Oreochromis niloticus: one gene and its partner. The protein of the gene in region 1 purifies or fractionates together with the protein of each later gene. This does not show direct contact. Links are inferred from orthologs where the notes say so. Each region holds a gene or a part of one and is shown on either strand. Other genes may lie near its edges.

Region 1 (8,112 bases):
AAAAGTAACCCTTGAAAGATTTTTTTTTTTTTGGTTAAAAGAAAAAAAACAAACAACAAAACTTATTTTGGTCCAAGAGATGACACCAAATGAGAAACTACTTTTAGGAATAATGTCAGCGTGGCAAATGACAAAAATTCTTGAAATAGATGGTTAATTACTGTGTCTTCTTGTAATTGATGTCATTTACTTTTGAGGGGTTTTTTTTAAACAACCATTTACACATCTAGATTAACTTAAAGTGCCATTTCCCGCCTTTTTTGGCATTTTCTCAACCCACTGAAATAGGGACAAATACATATTGTCACCGGTAGCTCTTTAGAAACCTATGAGACTCTGAAAAACCACCAATGAATTGCCAAAAAATGAATAATAAATAAAACTTATCAAGAAAATGTACTGACCCAAATACTGCACTCTAGTAAAACACAAACGGGCATGTGAAATGGAACTTAATGTGCTACATGAGCCCAGCGTCCATTTATACATTTCTTAAAATACCTGTCGTGATATGACCTTACAGGACTAGACTCCAGCATCTAACTGTATTATTCCAGTTAGTCACCCTATAGAGAATAATTCAGCATGCTGAGAAACTGAACTGGTGGGAAACTAAAGAAAGTAGGGTTAGAATTCTGTATGTATTTATGTAGATATTCTTACAGATTGTACCATGTTCCCTGACAAACGTTGAAATCTGAAACTACGTTTTTCTATCCTATACTGTTGATACTGCCCAGTAATCAAATCATGGTCTAGGATATAAGCTGTCCAACCTAAATTTTATGCACAGGTCTGTGATCAAAATCTGCACTTTTTTTTTTCCTTCTTCTTACCTTTGGCCAAGAGAGAGGCAGGGTTGAGACAAAACTCATTCTTATACAACATATGCCACTGCATGTATTATACTAGATACATGCAATTCATTAGCGCTGATTGCTGATGAATCAGTATCAAATACTAATAAATTCCCCTTACAAGACTGCCGTTATGTTTTACTGTATTATTCTGATGTTACAGCAGGGTTTGTCTCAGCTCTGCCTCAAATGGCAACGGCACCTGCAGAGACTGAATAAATGTGAGATTAAGTGCTTAAGAAAGACACTTACCCCATGCCGCGCCCCATGCCTCCACGCCCACGATGCATCATTCCACCTCGGTCAAAGTCCCTTCCAGGGCCCCTGCTCTCCCCTACTCCAGGGTACCGCGTAGGCTCAGAGCCTGGATAACCAGAACCTCCACCCTGCCCATCCTGCCTGTAACTGTCTACAAGAGGAACAACAACATCAAAACATGCAGTCGTCACAGAATGATCACAGTGGAATTGAACACATGTGTTTAGTTGAGAGAACAGCTGTTTAGGCAGGAGGAAAGCAAAGCTTACTGTAATGGCTGGACTGGTTGTAACTGGGTGGTCCACCTTGCTGGTTGTACTGGTTGGCTGGAGGCTGCCCGTATGATCCACCGGCCTGAGGAGGGTAAGCAGGAGGAGCTTGTTGCTGTGGCTGGGTCTGCTGTTGGTATCCCTGCTGCTGGTTGTAGCCTGCCTGCTGGCCTTGGTAACCAGGTTGTTGACCATATGCTGCTGGCTGGGAGTAGCTATTCTGGCTGTAAGTAGCTGGCTGGCTGTTAGCATTGTAACTGATGGAGACAAAGCAAAGACAGAATGCAAGTAATCCGATAAGCATGTTCTTCTGGAATTCCCATGTTTTGTTGTTGTCAGATGAGATGTCCATACCTCTGAGGGGCAGTGGGAGCAGCCTGTTGGCCATAACCAGGGTAGGCAGACTGAGCCGTGTATCCTGGCTGAGAGCCATAAGACTGGGAGGCAGCTGGAGCAGCAGCAGCAGGAGTACTGTCATAACCACTGGCTCCGTAACCCTGGGTTGACTGTGAATAGCTGTGAGTAGCAGACTGGGCAGCAGGGTAGCCAGCTGTACAAAAGACATCACATATCACAAAGGGAAAAAAAGAAATTTGATATTCATTCCTGTTAATTTTTCAGGAATCAATACAAGCTTTGCCACATTGTAATTTGACTGTTTAACAACAGAATAATTAAAAAAAAACAAAAGCTGACCTGATGCTGGTTGGCCATATGATCCAGATCCATACTGTTGCTGCTGCTGGGGGTAGCCTCCAGCTGCAGGTGTTGTCTGACTGTAACTGCTATCAGCAGCTGCTGCAGCAGGTTGGGTATATGAGCCATAATTCTGCTGGCCATAGCTTTGCTGAAAGAGCAAATACAGTAGCCATTAGGCAAAATAAACCTCAACTAAGCATTATTTAAAAGCTCCATTTGCTTAAAGCACAAACAACCTATGACTGCCAGCAGTAAACAAATAACCATCCCAGGTTTTCCCCACAATCATTAAATGTTTTAAGCACAAGGCATGCTTTGATCAAATCTGCACAATTAAATCAATAATGGTACCTGAGCAGATTGTCCATAATTCTGTGAGGGCTGGGCAGCATAGGAAGCATACCTGTAAACATATGCATCAAAATTTTAGGATCACCAGAAATCTGGGTACTGCCTGAAAAAACATATCATGCTGTGCACTGTTTAAAAATGGTCTTTATCTAAAAGATGTTTACTACGACCTAAAGAAGGTCACAAAAACACCAAAAGTAATCCATGTTTGGATATCGATTTTTAAAAAAAATTATACAGGTTTACATTTGCATCCACCCTAATCTCCGCTTTGTTTCCTTTCTTCGAAAGAATTAGGTCATATTGGATGGTTAAAAATCTCTAAGCCATTTTAATAAAGTTAACTGAAAAATCTTACCCCTGTTGAGCCCCGGTCTGGTTGTAGGAGCTGTAATCTGAAAATGGGGAAAAAGGTTAGTTTAAAAAAATAAAACAAAAAACAATAGAGTCTCAGATCTCAGCGCGCGAGCCGCACGTTACAGGCCCGTTCTTATGTCGCCATTCAAAACCGAGACAACTGAGCCATTCACTAAACCTAAACACTACTTCACAGCTAACGAAACCAGTCAGACATCGACGCACCCGTTAAACAGGATTCATTTTAAATCGGTAATATGCGGAAAAACCCAGTGTGCGCAAATGAAAAAACATATCCGGAGTAAATACCACAAAGACTCGACGTGCTAACTTGTCTAGGCCTCGGACGCGGAGGGAACTGGGTTCATGTTATTCAATAAAGAAAAGTGGCTAAAAAAGACGAACTATGCAAACATACTCACAATTAGGATACATTCATGCAAATTAATGTTTCAATAAATAACAAAATTTACTTTAAAAGTCAGTAATTGTCGCATTTTTTTTTACTCACCCGAAGCAGACGCCATTTTAGTGTGCCTATAAGAGACGAATGGACGAAGAATGCTACCGCAGAAGTGCAACTCTCTTCGCGGCAACCGCGAAATCTCGCGACATAACGCGATACTGTTTGGGGGCTGTTGTAGCGAAAGCATTACAGGTTTACAAATCAGATTAGATCAGGGGTGTCCAAAGTCCGAGTTGGCCCGCGGTCCATTTTTAATTGGCCCTCAAGTAATTTTATAAATAGAATAGAAAATGGCCCGCACTTCAACTTTTGCTTGAGTGTATTGCACTTCTTAGTTTTAACACCAGGGGGAGCTACTGTTGATCAAGGCAGTTGGTCTACCAAAAAGGACAATCACAGAAGAAATTTACCCCAAGTTACCAAACATGGCAGAAGCAAAAGGTAGAAAGCAGTGATGGCCAAATGAAGCTTTCTGAAGCACTGAAGCTTGTATTGAAAAACGGTTCATTACTCGAAGCTTTTCAACACAGTCCTCTCTGGTGACATCTGGTGGCCAAAAATATGAAGAGCAGCTTGAATCCACAAAATAAAACCAACTGCTTCATAATGATAGCCCACTATACAGAGTGGAACTCTGTCTCATATTGGGCTGCTGTTGTGTTGCTTTGAACGTGTATTTTTTGGTGTTAAAAAATGTAGTTTATTTGTTTAATAAATAATTTTGACAAGTAAACTTTCCTTGTGTGAACATGCACCATGGTTTGGTCTTTCTTTGCTTGTGACTTCTTGATGTTGGTAAATACAATAATTGAAAAATACCACGTTACATATAACATACATATAATAATGCACATTATGCAGTATGCTTCTGCTGTGAGGTCCTGCCTCCATGTACTTATGCATTTAATCTCTAGACGGGTATATTTATAAATAATATTATATTAGGGAAATTTTCCTATACATATTTTTGACCTGGGGGTAGAATTGATTGTGAAATGGAAAGGGAAAATGCTTATGAACTTGCAAATTAATAACATGATGCATTTAAGGAAACCCTTTTTCATTTTTATTTAAGAAGAAAATTAGTTCCACTGTGCGATGGACGAATCTGTTCCTTTTCGTGGAGATAATTTCTCCTGCCTTAAGGAAAATCCCTTCACATGGCACAGAAGAGAAGAGGCTAGAGTGCAGAAAAACTGGTAGAGATGCAGTTATGGCTCCACAAACTATCGGCTAAAGAGAATAAATAAATTAAATTGCTGCACATTTTGTAGACTAACATTGTAAGATTATTTTTTTAAATAAAATATATCTTTTTATAACATTAAATGTTACGAGTCAAATGGAAGTTATTTACTGATATTTATATTATGAAAAGCAGATTTTTTACATTTTAAGTTTTTCCCGTTTTCAGATAAAATAAAGACGCACAAAACAAAAGCAAACAGCCAGAACACAAAGCTGGAAAACCCACCCGATTGACCAGAATCAACTCAAAATACTTCCACACAACAGAACCAAATCTCTCAGTAGAATGATCAGTGGTTCGCTATCTGTCACCATCAACACACTCCACAAATCCCGCAAATGATTCACTTCGTTCCATTTGAATCAGATACCGAAGCAGTTGCGTGCGTAATAAAGCTTCGGACGTCACTGGTCACGTGACTTTTGCTAAACGAAGCAAGCCTCGACACAGTGCTTCTGAACCAGTGTGTTGTTTTTTTCGACACACGCTCCGGAGCGTCAGCTTCAAGCGGGCCATCACTAGTAGAAAGTGTGTAATGAACCGCTGATCTGTACCATAAGTCATCCTTGCGGGGGTTGTCGGAACTGTATGCGCAGTCGCACTAAGGACAGATGTGCTCAGAGGCATGCCCCGTAACGTGTATGAGCGGTCTGTCGTGCGGCAGGAATAAGTTGTACAAAGTCCATCTTAGACATGTGTGTCATGCAAGCTAGCAGCATCCCATGAGAAACGGGCCGAAGTGTTTAAGTGTTCACCGGAGTTTGCACCCTTGGCAAGCGGACTGAGGTATGTGATGAGAGGTGATCTGTTGTTATATTTTATTTAACCGAACTGTGTAACCCCTTGATGCTGTTTGAAGTAACCCCTTTTTGTTTTATTTAATCTGTGACTGTATATCTCAGAATTACTTGTTTGAACTTACCTGAATTAACTTGAGCTCATTGTTGTTATTGCTCATTGTTATACTTCAAAAGGACTGTACGGGTATCAATTTTTTCTTGTTTTATAGTTTTCACGGTGCTCAATGTCCAGAGAATGAGGCGTGTGTGGTGAGGAAATAAATGGCTGCACCCGTTAGAGACTCTTTTGTCATTCTTGATGCCAAGGGCTGCTACAAAGTGAGTGCAGAAAATTTCAGACACGGTGGGAGAGTGAATATTTTTTCAAAGAATTAAAGGGGAAGTGTGTCTGTTTGATCTGCACTGAAACTGTGGCAGTTATGAAAGAGTATAATGTACGACGTCATTATGAAACCAAACATCAGGCCTATGCATCCTACACTGGTGCTGAGCGAGAGCAGAAATTAAAGCAAAGGGTAGCTATCCTGCGGGGTCAGCAACAGTATTTTTTTCGTGCTCAAATTGTCCAGGAAAAGGCTCCAATAGCCAGTTATGAGGTCGCCCAACTCATCGCAAGACATGGCAAGCCTTTTTCAGATGGAGACCTCATAAAACGCTGCCTCGTTAAAGTCACCGAAATAATGTGCCCGGAAAAAGTGCAGGACTTCAACAACGTCAGCATGTCCAGAAATACAGTTGTGCCACGCACTGAAGACTGTCAGCCAACATTAAACTGCAACTGTCTGATAAAGCTGTGCTTTTGATTTTTACTCCATCGCATGCGATGAGAGCACCGATGCCACAGACACCGCACAGCTGCTAATTTATTTATTTTTTTGCGGGGAGTGGACGAGAGCACGAGCACTTTAGGTGAGTAAAAACTACATTCCACAGTACCCGCGTGTTAATATGCATGCATGTGCAGGTACACATGCTTCAAATATCAATAATGCGTATCAATTCTGTCACTACCCTGCTTTTGCGCACCACTTTCTTATATGCGTTTTTCTTGTTAACACACAGAGTACACACCGCTGTGCACAGCGCACGCACACGCAAAGTCAGCTGATCTCATCTGATGCAGATCTGCTCCTTGATCAAGTGACATTTGTCCGGATTTCTGGCACGAGTGGCGTACGATGAGCACCGCGGCTGGATGGCCCGATTTACATACCCAGCGCAGCTGATACTCACCAGAATAATTTACTAAAATTATATGCACTCCTGTTATTAAGTCCAGTTCAATCTGTTAATGTTGATAACCGTTTCAAACGAACGTTAATAGGTGTGTTGCTAAGCCTAAGAACTTAAATAATAAGCTTGAAATGTACCCGTCCCATTTTCCCCTTTATTGTTTTTCCTCTGTACTGTAAATCTTCTGTCCAAGAAGAAATCTGCTGCTGTTCTGAGAATGAGCTACCAAAGCTTTTTCTGAATAAATCAATAAAGATCCATTTATGGAAAGCTGTGATGAAGGCAGTTTTGTCTTTAATTATATTCAACAATATAACACATTTGACCACTTTTAAATGATTTTTCTAACATTAATACACTACAGTTAAGGTTATATACCTAATTTCTAGTAAGTGGCCCAGCCCCTCCTATATTTTTATGTATGTGGCCCTCAGGGATAAAAGTTTGGACACCCCTGGTCTAAAGTCTTTCATCTTTAATAAAATGATCAGCGTTCTTCTCTACCAGGTGTAACAACTGAGTTTAACATCCAGGCATCCATGAAAACGGAATTTATGACATTTAACGGAGCTAGAAGTTAGCAGGAAGTTAGCTCGCTAGCTTCTATCTAAATACAACATAGCATGTCCTGACTGCGGGGTTTTGGAAACAAATTAAAACGTACAGCTCTGTTATCACTTCCAACATAAATGAAGACAGAAAACTAAACAGCAGTGACGTTTGTAGGGTTACTGAAGTTTGGCTAGCTGGTATATAATGATGTGCTACGTGACCGCTAGCGACACAGCTGTGTTAGCATAATATAAACAAGCTAACTTTTTTTCCCACTCGATAAAAGTTAACGTGAGTGTTCTCGGTGGTCAGGAACAAATGTAATCGCATGGCAGGATGCTGTAAACGGACCAAACTTCAGCCAGGAGAACAACTGAGATAATCCATCCACAATACGAGGTTAGTCATTAATATACTGCTGCATGGGCTGGGCTGTAGTTACATCCTAAGGTTTTAAAAACTGAGCTTAAATAAATGTTTAGCGGTAATAAAAGCCGAGGGAGGTCAACAGTGATCACTGACTGTTTTAGGAGCTTTTTGAGATTAAATAGAAGAAAATACAAAACATTAAACATGTTAACAACACAAAAGCCATATTAAACGCAGACTACTTTAGGCCCGGAAGTAGGATTCGTCACGTCATCACTTAACGACCGGATTCTTCTGTTGTTAATTTTTATTTTAATTTATTAATTTTTTAATTAATTTTTAAGTCAGGTTGTTATTGAGTTTAATCGCTTTTTCTGAAAATCCATTCCATTTGAAGTATTTATGAATAAAGTGATAAAGTTCATTTTGAAATATTTAATTATAAAATATCTCTTTATTGTACATTAAATTATCAAGCAATGAATTTTATACATACATACATACACACACACACACACACACACACACACATATAAAAACACCCAGCACGCCCCTGCGGGCGGTTTATCCTTCAAGCTCGGGTCCTCTACCAGAGGCCTGGGAGCTTGAGGGTCCTGCGCAGTATCTTAGCTGTTCCCAGGACTGCGCTCTT
Region 2 (7,465 bases), on another chromosome or scaffold:
CAGCTTTCTTAGAGTTTCTTTAATAAAGCAAATGCGACATACTTCTTAGATATACACTTTATCTGAGAAGCAGCGCATGTGTTTGTGGTTGGCCTTTGATAAATTTACTGTGAATAAAAATGCAGACAACAGCCCGATCAATAAATGCTGATCATTATCATTCTAAATACTGAAGAGGGAAATATACTGCATGTGTGTGGGGCTATACTTAGGAAATTACTTGCTTTATACTTGAGCACACATGACATACCAAGCCCACGTGAGGCGACGTCAGTAGCAATGAGGATGGGGGCTTTGCCACTCCGAAACTCTGCAACATGAGACGAATAAAAGGTGATTAGGATCAGTTATTCAATTTAATTCAGTTCAGTTTGTGTAATTATGCAAGCAGAGCCAACACATGGTTCAGGGCAGCACAACACAACAGTGCAAAGACCTGCCATACAATGAAATGTCAGTGAGTGTGTTTATTGTACCTGCTAATACCCAGTCTCTCTCTGGCTGACTCTTGTCACCATGAATACACATCGCTGGCCACCTAGAAGACAAATCAGCAACTTTAACAGCGTGTGCCTGTGTGTGTCTGCTCTTTTGATTTTCTCTACAACCATTCATCTGATGTACTACAAACCAGTGATGGGCAATTCAAGCAAAAGTACAATTCAATATTTACAGTGGACCATTTTGACAAGTCTTCAATTATTGCTCCTAAATGACTGTGCTTAGCTAAGGCTGTGGAATAGCTTAAAAAGCTCCAATATCTCCAGTCCATACACACTCCAGTGTTAAACTGCCCAACTTCAGCATAGACCATACCACTGGGTGACATCATGGTGTCCATTCTTTATTACAGTCTGCAGTTAAAACAGATGCTGGGATGAGTTGGTATACTCACCCGTCACGTCTCATCCTACGTGTCAGGTCATCACACCGTTTCTTGGTCTCAACGAAGATGATGGTCTTGTTTTCCTTCTCAGCCATAATCTCTTCCATCAGCTGGATAAGCCTGAGAAAAGCAAAAGAAGCAAATGCATTATAATTAAAGGGATGTAAACGCACACACCAAACACAGCAGATGCTGTTATTCTTAATGTGAGAAAATAATTCCTATGTGACCAGACCACCAAACTCTTACTTTTGGTCCTTTTCGCTCTCCACGCAAACATCAACAATTTGAAGGATGTTGTGGTTAGCGCTGAGCTCCAGAGCTCCAACATTGATCTGGACATAGTCCTTCAGGAAGTCCTCTGCCAGTTGGCGAACTTCTTTAGGCCAGGTAGCGCTCCACATCAGAGTCTGTCTGTCCGGCTGGGCAAAAGAACCCACCAAGTAAAACACTGTACACTAAAACAGCTTTGACTTAAAACACAAGAGTAAGCAGCAGAAAACAAAAAAACCTAAGAAAAAAACAAAAAGACAGATATAGCCTTTGAGTATTAGCGTTTACCCTGATCTGATCCACAATTTTGCGTATCTGTGGTTCGAAACCCATGTCCAGCATGCGGTCAGCCTCATCCAGAACTAGGTATGTGCAGCGCCGCAGGTTGGTCTTTCCAGCTTCCAGGAAGTCAATGAGACGACCCGGAGTGGCGATGCAGATTTCAACACCTGAGCGAGACAAAGTTAGCATGTTTCAGTGTGTAATATAATCAGTTAAACTGAAAATAAATAAGTTACAGACTAATCGAAAGTGGTTCCCAAAAGGACACAACTGTATGATTGCATGCTGTAGTAGTCTTCACCTCTCTCCAAGTCTCGTATTTGAGGTCCCTTGGGAGCACCGCCGTACACACAAGTGCTTTTGATGCGTGATGACTTTCCATAGTCATATGCCACCTGCTGGACCTGCTGAGCTAGTTCTCTTGTGGGGGCCAACACCAAGCACTGCACAGCACATATATAAAGCCACATCAATCCTCTCTTTAGTGTTTGTTAGTTTTATGTTGTGCTTTGAGGTCTCTAATACAATTAGGTTACTCCAAGGCAGACTACTCAGTGATTAGTGCTCTCCTTTTCTCTTCACGTACAATGGGTCCATCTCCACGCTCCAAGTAGGGCTGATGATTGATGTGCACAATTGCAGGCAGGAGATACTGAAAGAAGAAAAATATGGAAGACTGGTTAATCTTTCACCTGTGAAATTCATCTGTGTGATGCGTACAGGTGCAGAGGAAGACACATCTCACCGATAAAGTCTTTCCAGAGCCCGTCTGAGCAATGCCCACCATGTCTCTCCCACTGAGTGCCAAAGGGAAACCTTGAGCCTGAATGGCTGTTGGTTCCTTGAAGTTTTGCTGCACCAGTACATCCATTACATATTCTAGTTGGAAGAAGCAAAAATAAGGGACGACAAAGTTTCTGGTTATGTATGTCTGCAAACTGTCCACAGTGCTGCAGGTGTATCCATGAGTGCATGTGCTTACGAGGAAACTGTGCATGATGGAAGCTGGTGACAGGTTTTGGGCAGCCTGAGCCTCGGACTGTGATTTCTTTCTTTCTGCGATACTCCTCAACATCATACTGAGAACAAAGAGAAGAAAAGCAACAAGTGAACACAGACTAAACAACACAACAGGTGCAGCTGAAGGTCAGACTGTGACATGACGGACATAATACCTGGCTCATTCGCTGCACTTCGGAATTTTCATTATAGAAGTTTTTCTCAAATTTGGGAAGCTCATTCAGGTCCCATCTCTTCTTTCGTAAGCGTTCCCCGGGATTCCGAAACTTCTTACCCGGGGGTGGTCCGCCTCTGCTTGATCCGAATCGGGGATTGCTGGAATATGACAACGAACTGTAAGGTCAAAGCAACCGCTGCTAGTCACAATAAAAACATATAATAGGGTTTTATGATAACTAACTAGCATTAGCTGACAAGCTAACTTAGCAGTCCTCTTACCCTCTGTCACGACCACGGTCTCGGTCTCTGTCTCCGTAAGAACCTCTCATTTTGAGGGCTCTTAGTAAGTTTTCCTAATGGACCTTATCTTCTACAGGTTGTAAGGCTTTTGCTTACAGATACTTTTTCTGGCCTTGCTTGAAAACTCCAGAAGCTTCACTCGGCGAGACCGTGAATTAGCTTGGACAACTGACTAAATCAAAAATAAATTAAAATGTCGTCTTCGTAAATGCCTGCTGAAAAGTTAAGTAGCACAACCCGCCATATTTCCTTTGTGACAAGCGTCGTTAGGGTTGCAATAGTAATAAGACGCAGGAGATGGTTCTGTGTTGTTGTTAGCTTAACACAGAACCGGAAGCTGCTGTGACTGGCTGGCGGCTGGATAAGCCCCGCCCCTATACTGTGAGTGACATACTCATGGCACGCGTACGTCTGTTTACTTACTTGGCCATTTATTAAACAGCTTTGGAAACTTAATGCAATACACTCACCGGCCATTTGATCCGGTTCACGTGGTCAGCTGCTCCTTAAAGCAAACAGGCCATCAAGATGACCCGCTGAACTACAAACCGAGCTTTAGAATTTAAGGCGATTTAAGTGGCTTTGAAGATGACATGGTTGTTGGTTCCAGTCGGGCTAATCTGAGTATATCAGAAAATAGTGAAATATTACGATTTTCCCACATAACCGTCTCTAGGGTTTACAGAGAATGGTCTGAGAAAGAGAGGGAGGGGGGATAACTACTAAATAACAAAAGTAGAGTAAAAAGCATATACTGTCCAAAACATTACTTGAACAATAGACTCTGTCAATGGTGTTTGCAGGGGTTCTAATATTTTGCTAATGAGAATGATGGAGTCTACAAGCCTGCAAAAACTGCCAGAAATGTCTTTTTATTTTACTATTCATCTTTTATTTCTTTTTGAAACATCAACAGAAATCAATATAGCATCAAAACATGTGATATTACCAATATACAAACAAAAAAAATATCATACAACAAAAAAATTAAAAATAAAACAGGAGTATATATGAAATGAAACCATCAAAACACAAATATATTCAAACAGAGCACTATACCAAGCAATGGCGTCCCATTGTCGTCGTCATAAAGGTTTTGCAGCACTAAGTTTGACTTTATTTACAGCGTTCCTTCCATTTGGATATAGTATTTTCTGGATTAAAATACAATAAGCTTTGCAAAATTATGATCTGATAGTGTTTTGAAGAAAATGCTCAAGTATGAAACGCTCAGAACAAACACACTCGACCTTGATTTTAACTGAAGCAATGCAGGTTTAGTAGAAAGATACACAAGTGATGCGGTCACTGGGGTGGGAGGCGGGTGGCGGCTGGATGGGATGTGGGTCACAGATGGAATCCAAACACTTTCACCCACCTTCTCTTGACCGAATATGATTTTCTCATTAGGACATAAACTGAAAACACACACATCACTTTGGCTGGGTTGACTCCTTTTCTCGCAAAGGGTTGGGCGGTGATGTACTATGTGTCGACCCGCAGTCACTACCTCCAGTCTGTTAAATGGATATACACTCAACATAAACAGAATCTCAGCTTTTATACAGCTGTGCTCTGCCATTAAAACATTTAGAACCACAAACCACATGCGAGTTATATACCAGCCACTGTGTAAACGCATATTAAACATAACTGGATAAAATATGAATGCATAACTCAAACAGTTCCAGCCATCTTTTGGAAAAAGAAAACATAATGCCAACCAGAGGATTTCTGGCCAGCCTGAAGGTGTTTAGTCACTTTTCATGTCCCTGTACTGACCACCAAGTTTAAAATGCTCAATATATTCAAGTACAAATGTGATTTCAATCTGATTTAAAGCCTTGTTTTCACCAACATATCTTCGCATTCTCTATCTGTAGCGACTGACAACGTGACATATTTGCCGCTGCTGTCGTAGTGATGCCATTACAAATGACACCAGCAGAGGCAGCGCCAATCTGTGCAGCATGTAATGCCATTAATTATGAGATCACAATCCAGGGTGCATCACAGCTGGGCCGACTGTGCAGGAAAGTGTTGCTCCATCAGTAATCTGTAATCTGTGTGGGCGCTGTCCTTCCGTCAGTCCTCCTGCCTACGCTAAAAATCTCTCCTACAGCTGTTACTGTGCTTCTCCCCAAACAATAGAGAGTCTGGCCAACAGCTGGAATGCCATTACATTACATAATGATGACATCCTCAGTAAACTCATAAAATTTCTAGGATAACAATAACATAAACCTTCGAGCTCAAACAACATTTAGATAAAATATTTATTTGTCATTGAAGTCATATATTAAAAATAACCCCTGCAATTCAAAGGCTACTTGAAAAAAAATTAAAAAACAATCCTAAACTTTAAGACAGTGTCTTGTTATTTGGAGCACAGGGTGCTATTTGGCAATATATAGTTACAAAGAGTGAGAGCACTAGCAGAGAGGTGAGGAGGAATATTGATTATGAATCAGTGTAAAGCGTAAAGAATAAAGAGGCCATGTGTCTCAGAAGAAGATGGCACTTACTTTCTCCAGCTCATATCTAACATTTTTAATGCCATAGTGTCATTAGTGCAGGATTAAGATGGTATAATGCAGGCACAGTTATCTGTACGAATCCATTTTCCACGGGTGAATACAAAAATCGCATTTCTTTCAGCGATGGCCTAAAATCACAACTAAAACAACACAAATAACAGCTTGGCCAGTTAAAGAATCAACCTCACTCCTCCCTCACTTTATTTGTAATATCTACATTCTTTTCACGCTCCTCATTTCCGTGCTGTAGCAATCATTTCCTTTTTCCTTAGAAAAGGACTCTGCCCTGTCTCGGTTTCAGCAATCTGGCAACCATGACATAAATCTGATCTTTCACTGTTATCTAAATGTGAAATAACCAGAACCACAGCCTGAACTTCCACGTTGAGGTCGGAAAAAAAGATCAGATTCGTCTTCCATGGCTGCTAAAAACTTGAGAAGGGCTACAGGAGTAAGGGTTAGCTTCCGAGTGTGTGTTTGAGTCTCAGAACTCATCATCAGAGCTGAGTAAAAGAGTCTTTTCGTTGTCCCCGCGGGTGCTGATGTTACTGTGGCTGCGGGAGAGTGGTGGCCCTCCACTTCGCTCTAATGTGGACTGCTGGGTGTACTGCTGATAAGCTGGGGAGAAGTTATGGATGGCGTCCTGGACCATGTCTCCTGGATTCATCGTCTCCTTCAGGCTGCTGGAAATGCTCTTCATTGGGGCACAGCGACCTGGAGGTGTGATGGGAAGGTGGTAAATATTAAGAACGAGACACTGAATGGAAGCGATACATGAGCGAAAAAAGAAAGAAACTATGTTTCCATCCCAACTGCCAGCTGGATTGTCCAAATAAACCTAAGCAATGTTGCAAAGAATATAAAATATATTAAGATAAATATTATCACTCCATCTGGCATATTTATTATCAAGGCAAGGGTTTACGACAAGGGTAGGACCACAGACTGAACAAAGTGGGAAGGCAAAATGACGAAGGGCGGAATTAACTGACAGCAAAATAAATGAAAGAACACAAAACAACACAGCGAAATATCCATAATTTCAAAATCTAATGGAAACATCAATATCTGCATTTTCTATACAATGCTGCAAATGAAACACTGAACTGAAACACATAACACAAGCGATGGAAATGTAATTTCCTTTTAAACCACAATCAAAGAGAAAAAAAAGACATCAAATTCCATTTTAACATAAACAACTGAGTCACATACAGACAAAACATAGCTAACATCAGACGTACCGTACTGTCCATAGATAGGAAATGAGCCTTGAGTGCCGCAGAGTGAAGGAGGAGGAAAAGGAGAGAAAGAGATAAGAAACACAAGAAGGTCAAGATGAAAATAAAAGAATAGAAAAGAGGGCAGATGAAAAGAGAACAACTCAAAATAAACAGATTGTTAAAGATAGGAATCAAAGTAAAGAGGGAGGGACACAAAGAGTGAGGTCAGATTAGCTTTGAAAGACTTCATCAAGAACCCTCTGTTAATCACATAATTACAATATTATAATACTCTGTTAGTTGCTCTTTGAACATTTCACTCTCTACTACAACCAGACATCAAGGCACACACATAAACATGCCGCTTACCATATGAATCCAGCCTTTTGTCCATGTAGACCTTGTAAGTAAAAGCATGGCGCAAAGCAATAGCAGCAAAGAACATCTCAATGCAGATGATGAAGTTTTGGTAGCCAGCAGCAACTGTTCCCTCCCCCACAGAGAAATCAGCAGAGTTGATCTGGGGGATAGCGCCACACTTCTCCAGGATGGCCAACAACATCCCTGAAATATACAAAGATAAAATATGAAAACATAAATCAAAACAGTGATGTATTACTCCATGAGAGTTCAGCAACATTTGAATCTGTGCATGGAAATCATGACAAGAGACTAAGCAGCAACCTTTAGTGTTGGAAATGTAAGCGCAAGGCTAAAAAAAGTTACATTTTTCATCTGTTTTGATATTTTAAATGTGAAAATATTGATTCTAAGACTCTATTTCA

The links.
Region 2: the proteins of ewsr1b (region 1) and probable ATP-dependent RNA helicase DDX17 purify together in Homo sapiens (affinity purification with mass spectrometry; 3 studies listed by BioGRID, with this or other methods). This does not show direct contact. The link is inferred for Oreochromis niloticus from reciprocal best matches to the Homo sapiens genes EWSR1 and DDX17.

Annotation. Positions count from the first base shown.
Region 1 is NC_031977.2:18,648,774-18,656,885, reverse strand, and holds the start of ewsr1b (EWS RNA-binding protein 1b), read right to left. Parts: upstream 3,420-8,112; 5' UTR 3,319-3,419; coding exon 3,303-3,318; intron 2,830-3,302; coding exon 2,793-2,829; intron 2,487-2,792; coding exon 2,435-2,486; intron 2,232-2,434; coding exon 2,081-2,231; intron 1,935-2,080; coding exon 1,739-1,934; intron 1,642-1,738; coding exon 1,385-1,641; intron 1,267-1,384; coding exon 1,110-1,266; intron 1-1,109. UniProt on the Homo sapiens protein: Binds to ssRNA containing the consensus sequence 5'-AGGUAA-3'. Might normally function as a transcriptional repressor. EWS-fusion-proteins (EFPS) may play a role in the tumorigenic process.
Region 2 is NC_031969.2:9,881,062-9,888,526, reverse strand, and holds the start of probable ATP-dependent RNA helicase DDX17, read right to left. Parts: upstream 3,276-7,465; 5' UTR 2,950-3,275; coding exon 2,900-2,949; intron 2,777-2,899; coding exon 2,617-2,776; intron 2,521-2,616; coding exon 2,424-2,520; intron 2,321-2,423; coding exon 2,187-2,320; intron 2,094-2,186; coding exon 2,028-2,093; intron 1,885-2,027; coding exon 1,743-1,884; intron 1,609-1,742; coding exon 1,448-1,608; intron 1,309-1,447; coding exon 1,136-1,308; intron 1,007-1,135; coding exon 896-1,006; intron 539-895; coding exon 477-538; intron 311-476; coding exon 251-310; intron 1-250. Other genes in the region: transmembrane protein 184B, read right to left, coding at 5,942-6,171, 6,702-6,728, 7,050-7,244. UniProt on the Homo sapiens protein: As an RNA helicase, unwinds RNA and alters RNA structures through ATP binding and hydrolysis.